Linked DNA regions of Callithrix jacchus. The protein of the gene in region 2 purifies or fractionates together with the protein of the main gene of each other region. This does not show direct contact. Links are inferred from orthologs where the notes say so. Each region holds a gene or a part of one and is shown on either strand. Other genes may lie near its edges.

Region 1 (3,915 bases), on a different chromosome or scaffold from region 2:
CTATACAACTCAAAATATATATATACACACACATAAAAGGAGTAGATAAATCAGGTGTGAGTTAGCAGATACATCTTAGTATTTTTTATGAACGACTCCCAAATTGAGAGATGTAACTAAATGCCCTAATATTTCCATTTTTAGCCCTCATCATCACCTGCTAAAAATGAGCTAAGAAAAAGCATAGGTCATACTCGAAAACTTCAACAAAACTCACTGCAACTAAATGGGGTCTGATACTTTAAAGAATATTTCCCTTTAAAAACGTTACTATGTGGCAATCTACTTATTGACCTCACAATCTTTATACTAGCGCTTTAAACCCTTCAATTTTTCTCAAAACAACAACAAAAAAGTGGGCTTTGCATTTTATTTCAAAACATGAGATATAAAAGTGAACAAATCTTTTAATAATATCAAACACAGATGTTTCTTAGCCAGCAACCATTTCATAAATAAGAAAGGCTCTTTGGCAAATTATCTGTGTGACTTTGGTCAAGTCATAACCCCCAGTGTTTTGTTATCTCGTCCTACTTTATATTTTACGTTCTAAATGCTTTAATTAGCAGTCAGTTAACAACCATTTTGGATTTAAATTAACCCAAAAGGTAATAAGCCATGAAAACTAAAGATAGTTCATAAGTAAGCACAGGTGGTTGTAGCCAAGTGTTAAATAAATTGGTTTCTATACCCAAAAAGATTGTTCCCGATCCAGCCTGTTGTTTTCACAAATTGAGACTCCTCAGGCACAAGGGAACCAGGTAAGAGAATGGAAAAGGCTCAGTACCTTTTATTACTAACACCGAAGAAAAATACACATTCGAATTCCCAACTGACAGTGCTGTTAGACGTTTCATGCTAGTATATGGCTAGCACATAAAATAATATTCTTTAAACAGATAGATATTGTGAAAACAGAAAATTTAATATCCTTTTCTTCTAACTCAAAATATCGTTTTGGATCCTTTTAAAAAAAAATGTCTGTTCCTTTCTTCTGACAATGTAAGTTGGTGGAGACTGAAACAAAACACTTTGCAAGTGGACATCGCCTTTACAAAACAGTTAATTGTTTTTTCTTCCTCTTGTCTAAAGACCAGCTATTTGGACAAAGTTTTCCTGATGATTATAATTCTACCAAGTTCTGAACAACCATCGAAGAAAAGAAAAACTAAATGTATTTCCATTCTGCCCACAGCATACACTGGCCCATTTGAGACACAAATTGTAAATGAAAGATTGGGCTGAACAACATCCTCCACTTTAAAATATACAAGGCACCAAAACAAACACATCCAAAATCTATTTTTAGAGTGGCATTCACTCTTCCAGTTTTCTCTTTAAAATGAGATTTACTTGACCTATTTTCATGTGTTTTTAGGGCACCAAGACAGTCCACAAAAACAGTATTTGCTAGTCATAAAACAGCAAAGGCACAATCACAAATCCTGTTATTTGTGTGGGATATTTTCTTCATGTGTCCTTACGTGCCATGTCTTAAAAGTCTAAATATAGATTCACTGACTAAAATGTCCTAAGTCTTCCAGATTTATAATTATATACTGCATTGAATGCCAATATTATACGTTCACATCCCATTTGAAAAGTACACACACGGGGTGGGGGTGATGTGCCCAGCACCTGAAATGTCAATCATACAAAGAACAAAGCGTTCCCCATCATCTTTTGGCTTTCTTCTCTCCTCAGTTGTACATTGTTTCAATATTACAAAAATATCACTTAAAATGTTCAAAACTTGAGAAATAAGTGCTCACTAAAACGGCACTTAAATTAAAACGTATACCAAAATGATGAACGAGAAAAGATTCTTGTTGCCAGGATGTGTGTGTAAACTTACAGTCCTGTGGAGAGGACGGTTCCCTCTCCACATTCTTAAAAATAATTTTACATTCTTTAGAAGCCTTTGAAAAATAAATAGCGACAACAATGGAAGACCCGCACTCCTTCAGACTGGATGGAGGGTAGGAAGAGAACTCCCCACCCAACAACCAGAACAAAGCAACAGCCTCGGCTTTTAAGATGTACAGAGGGTCTGGAGGCTCAAGGGACATTCTGAGACCTCTTAATTGTTCCGATGCTTTAACAGCCGTCAAAACAGCTAAGAATATGCAATGCGGGGCTTCACTAGGACAAGGTGCAGGAATGCTCTCTTCGTATTAGGCAAGACCGAGACACTGAGCAGGAGGAGAAAAAGGAGGAAGAGAAAGAGCAGAGAAAGCAGCAGCCAGAGACACTCCGGGAAAAGACAAAATGCAGACTGTACGCCCTGGCTTCGATCTGACCCAAGGCCCAAAGTGTCTGACCCCACACGGGAAACAGGGAGCAGGCTACTGCCAAAAAACCATCGCCGCCCCTACACCTCGAGGCCAGAAGGTCCCCGCGTAGAGGCCTGACACCACGGCCCAGGGGGAGGAGAGGGACCCGCCTGCTACCCGAGGCACCGACGCGGGCTCCGGCGGAAGAGGCTGCGCAGTAATGGCCGCTGCTCCGCCCCTCGCACCCCGACCGAGACCAGCTCAGGCCGTCACCCAGGGCAGGGTCTGCGGCGCCCTCGGGCAGCACAGGGGCTGTCACGGCCGTCTAGCCTGCGACCGCAGCCAAGGCTGGGGTGGCGGAAAAGGCTGAGCTGTCCCATCCCGCCTCTGCGCGGGCAGCCGCGGCCGCGCCAGCCCAAGGGCGTCCATCTACGTACCGGCCCCTGACCCCGCCGCCGCCCCTCTCAGGCCCCGAGCGCAAGGCCGACCCGGAGTACGTCGCGGCTGAAGGTGACACCGCGAGCTATGCTTCCTCTCCCCCAGTGAGGGTCCTGGAGTGGCCGGAGTTCTCCCTGCTCCCCCGACAGGGCCTCGCTCCGACTGCCACCTCTCTGGCCACAGCAGCGGACACCTCGCAGTCTTTTTCTCTCCGGCCTCTGAGCCCGCAGCGGCCGGGGACGCGCGCGGCCCTCACGTGACCACCCGGCGCGTCGCGGGGGCGGGGCCGCGCGGGGCGGAAGCCGCGCCGCGCACCCGCGGGCTCGCTCCGGCGTCTCTTCGTTCCGTCCCGGTTTCGCGCCGCTGCCTGCCTGCACTCTCCTGCCTGTGGGGATCCGCGACTTCGCTGCTTGGATCCTTCTGGCTGCTTTAGAGTGTACTTTGTTTGTATTAGGGGCCAGAGGCTCTGAAAGAATGCAGCTCCAGCAAGCAGATTTGGGGTGGAGGAAGTAAAACGCGTGTAGGAACTGCAGGTGGTGCTGCGCAGAAATCCAGTTTTGCGATCCGGGAGAAGCCCTGGGGTGCCTAGCCGAGTTTCGGCTTGAAGATCCCCTGGCAAAAGAACTGCTTTTCCCTTTCAAGAAATAAAAAAGGGTGGTGGGGGGCGGACCGAGGGGGTAGAGTATTCTAGGGCTTTCTAATTTATTCACCTTTTTAATGGTTGAGCAATTTAATCGGGAAAAGCATGGATATTACTTTCCCTTTGAACCCCTCCTTTTTTTAAAAAAAAAAAACAGAATAGTGCTTGAAAAACTGGAGAAAGAAATTAATCTGCATGAGAATCTAAAATTAAAGAGGTTATTTTGATCGCAAGCCTGTGGTTTAAAACATCAGAACTCTAGCAGTATTCACCATTTTCGCATGTACATTTCCTTTTTCAGAACTGATTAAATTTTCCTAATTTGTAGGAAAATGAAGAGGGTGGAAGAGCAGGCCTTTTATCTTTAAAAGCGTATGTATTTCAAAATTTTATGACAGTGTCTTATTTGCAATAGTGTTGCGTTTTGGGATTTCATTAAATGTTTCATTCAGGATGGGAAGTTTTCAGCGACCTTATATGTATAGAAATTTATATGTTTTCTGTTATTCCTCTGAATCAGTTTATTTCAGGGTTCTCATTCTCATATCTCAATATGTAAACCAG
Region 2 (3,915 bases):
TGTTAATTTTTATTATTCCCCTTTCATACCTGTAACTATTAATCTTATAACCTACACCTGATAATTTGGGTAAGTTGTGAGGGGTGGGTGGTTTCCAAAATATTAAGTCTTCCATTTCAACTTGAACAAACAAAATGAAATCTATGTAAAAAAATGCTCTGAAATGTTGGAACAGAACTGAGGGTAGGAAGTTAGAGAAGGAACAAGGTCACTGAGCTAATACCCATAACCTTACACCTCTAAATATTACTATTTTCAGATATGAACTCATTAATATACCAAATTCTTGAAAGGTAGCAACTAAGATCTTTCTTGGCTATTTTTATCCCACAGATCAAATGAACAGACTTTAAGTAACCCTACCCTTTGGCTTATGTATCAGTTGGTGGTGATAGTTTGCCAAATCAGTTGTTTAAATGTTGACTAACTACATGGTCAAACAGGACAATCTGAATTGGCTGAAGAACAGCAGCACTTACCATCAAGATTTTGGGTAAAATTTCGGCTAACTAGGTGTGATTTGACTTAAGTATTCTTCCTTCTCTTTCTATTGCCCAGAAACTGTTTCTAGTTCTCCGACTAGGTTCCCTAGACTTTCTTTTCTTAAAAAGACTCCCCAGTAGAAATTCCAATAAAGATGCAATTGATCAAAAAAGCATACCTCCTGGTAGTGTTTACATTTAAAACCCGGAACAGGGTAAACCGAACAAAACTCCAATTGGTAGAAAGTGTAAAAGTAATGTTTGTGAAAGAGGAAATCTTCCTCACTGCTCCTTTTCTCTTCATCAATCTAGCCCCAAAAGAACAGAAACACTTTAAAAGGTATTCCCTGCTTTTTCAAAAAAATTGTTTTTAACAATCATGAAATACACAAAACAAAAAACCAGGATGGTCGGAGGTAAGAGGAGGTACTCCGATTTTCAATCACACATGGCTCACCTGAAGTTAGAAACTGTCATGATCTTTTCTACAAGTGAAAAATATGTATGCTTTATGGGAATAAGCTGACTATCCCATCTCTGGTTCTTTTAAATTCTTCGACTAAATTTAATATGCTTACATCATAAAGTGAACCTAATAAATATTAAAAGAAAGTAATTCAAACGATCTAATTCTCAAAATGAAGCAAGGTTAGTTTCAGCTTATATTCTAGATCCAAGCTAAAGTACTTGCACCATCTTTTCTACTATACTACTACTTTCCACCTCAACTTGTGTGTGTGTGTCAAAGACTTCCCGCACCCAGCCTAGTCAGATTTCAGTTCTCCCAAACTTGCCTATTTCCAGTTGTAGTCACTCCAGAAACTTGCTGATTGGCTATTCTGATAAATCAATTAACGCTAATGTGTCAATGGCCTATTAAACTACTCCTCCGAAATTACATCCTTGCATTTTACAAAGTCCTTCAAGACCTTAATCCAAATGGAACTTGCCAGAATGAAAAATTTTGGAGGTAACTGATCGTTTAAATCATAGGTCTATTTACTAAAGTCCCCTACTCTTTCTTGTGTGTAGACGCCTTCTAGGGTAACAAGACCGGAAGTTGGTACAGGTATTGTAGCAACAAAACAAAGCCAAAACCCCAAACCACCCTCCACCCTCGGCAAAAACAAAATAAAACAAACCAAAAACTTCCAGTGAGTGTGGCACGCTCACCCAACCCCCCAATCTCCCCAGTCCCCACTGGAAGAGAGGGAGATCACCAGGACCACAGTCCTTAGGGGACAGGTCGAGGAGTGGAGGAGCACTGGTTTCAGGCCTACGAGCCCCGGATGCGCAGGTGGGGTCTAGAGCGAGGCGAGGGGGCGCTGGCCCGGGTTACCTGCGGCGAAGTGCAGTGGGGTGGATTTCCTGCCCGCCGTGTCGCGGCTGTTCACCTTCTCCGGCGTCACCAGCCTCTTGACTCGCTCCACATCCCCATTGCGGCACGCCTCGAATAGCTCTCGGGCAGCCGGCTCCATTGCCTCGGCCGCCGCACTCGCGCAGGCCGCTCCCCCGCCCGCGCAGCGGCGGCCCGACATGATCCTGGCCGCCGCCGCCGCCAGCAGCAGCGCCAGCAAGGGCAGTAGGAGCCCCGGCCCCACGAGCAGGAGGGCGAGGCCCCCCGGAGGAGAGGCGCTCAGGGCCCGGGCCGGTTGGCTCCCTGCTGTCACCGGATCCGGCGCAGTCCCATGGCCGCGCCGACGCGCGCCCTTAGCTCGGCTCCCTTCCCCCAGCTGCCCTGCAGCTGCGGAGGCAGCGCGAATCCGCCGGCCGAGCCCTGAAGCGACGCGGCCGCGGAAGGTGGCAAGGTCCCTCCTGCCAGCTCCGCCGAGCCCTGGGAGAGCACGTGACGTTGTCCCGCGCGTGCGCAGTAACCGGGAATCGGCCGTGCAGGTTTCCGCGAGCTGGGCTGCGCGGAAGGGTTTGTGGGAAATATGTAGTGACGGGCTTCGCAGAAGGGGCTTCGTCCCATCGCCATCTTTGCGGTGGGTTCTGCTGAAGCTGAACGGTCCTGCATATTGTTTATTTTTTTAAGCCCTGGGCTTTTCAAGCTGAACTTCCTCACTACCATTATACTGAAAAAGAGCCCTTGAAAGTTTTGCTCCATCTTGCATATTCTTTTGGAAGTAAATTGTACGTATTTTCAGCTTCTACATCCATTTTTTTTTCTTTACTGTGTCTCTTTTCTTTCCTCCTCAACTGCTTTGTTGTTGTTGTTTCTTGTGAAACATTTCTCAAAAGTGAACGAGTTGCCATTTAATTAGAAGTTTGGATGAATTGCCCCCAAAATAAAGGAAATCAGAACATATATGAAAGTTGACTCCAGTTGGGGGGATGGCTCTGATCAATTACTCTTTCCTTAGTAAGTTATTAGCTCAGGTTTGATTAGAGGAACTTTATGTAAATCAGTATTGTACCCGACAAGCCTGAAGTTTGGATACACTGGGCATATGCATCTCCAAGAAAGTTTTCTGAGTTGTAATTTTTTTCTTTGGCCAACAAATCAAAGAAAAGCACGTAATTGATTTTCATGATTAAGGTAGTGGGGTAGTTTTATACGCTGATTCCCCATTACACTCCCTTGTCTTAAAAAACGGAAACTATGCATATACATACATTTTACTTACAGAAGATGATACAGGTTGACCTTTGGCATTCTGAAAAACATACCGCCCCCCCCCCCCCCCCGCCTTAACCTGTTTTTCAGGAAATCCAGTTTTTGTTGGGGAGTGTTGACTCACTACAGTGCTAAAAGAGGATGTACACTTTTTTGAGCATTTTTATAAATATGGAATTGAAGTTATGGTAGATATCAATAAAGTGAATATGCACGAACGCACCTAAGGACTAGAACACTACCAATATGATTGCATTTATCATTTTTCTTTCCATAAATCTGCTATGGTGATCTATGATCAGTGATCTTTGAAAACACTATTGCAATTGTTCTGGGGCACCCCAAACCACACCCATAGAAGACAGCAATCAATCAGTCAATGTTGTGTGTGCTCTGACTGCCCCACCGACAGGCTATTCTGCCATCTCCCTCTCCTTTGGTCTTCTGTTCCCTGAAACACAACAATATTGAAATTAGGTCAGGTAATAACTCTACAATGGCTTCTAGGTATTCAAGTGAAAGGGAAAGTTGCATATCTCTCACTTTAAATCAAAAGCTAGAAATTATTCAGCTTAGTGCAGAAGGCATGTTGAAAGCTGAGATAGGCCCCCTTGCACCAAACAGCCAAGTTGTGAATGCAAAGGAAAAAATTTTTTAAAGAAAATTAAAAGTGCTATTCCAGTGAACACACAAAGGATAAGAAAGTGAAACAGCCTTACTGCCGATATGAAGAACGTTTGAGTGGTCTGGATAGAAGATAAAACCAGCCACAACATTCCCTTAAGCCAAAGCAGAATCCAGAGTAAAGCCCTGACT

The links.
Region 1: the proteins of TNKS2 (region 2) and RNF146 purify together in Homo sapiens (co-immunoprecipitation; 3 studies listed by BioGRID and IntAct, with this or other methods). This does not show direct contact. The link is inferred for Callithrix jacchus from reciprocal best matches to the Homo sapiens genes TNKS2 and RNF146.

The regions. Positions count from the first base shown.
Region 1 is NC_133505.1:133,839,129-133,843,043, reverse strand, and holds the start of RNF146 (E3 ubiquitin-protein ligase RNF146), read right to left. Parts: upstream 2,943-3,915; 5' UTR 2,711-2,942; intron 1-2,710. UniProt on the Homo sapiens protein: E3 ubiquitin-protein ligase that specifically binds poly-ADP-ribosylated (PARsylated) proteins and mediates their ubiquitination and subsequent degradation. May regulate many important biological processes, such as cell survival and DNA damage response.
Region 2 is NC_133513.1:84,573,557-84,577,471, reverse strand, and holds the start of TNKS2 (poly [ADP-ribose] polymerase tankyrase-2), read right to left. Parts: upstream 2,329-3,915; 5' UTR 2,021-2,328; coding exon 1,822-2,020; intron 1-1,821. UniProt on the Homo sapiens protein: Poly-ADP-ribosyltransferase involved in various processes such as Wnt signaling pathway, telomere length and vesicle trafficking.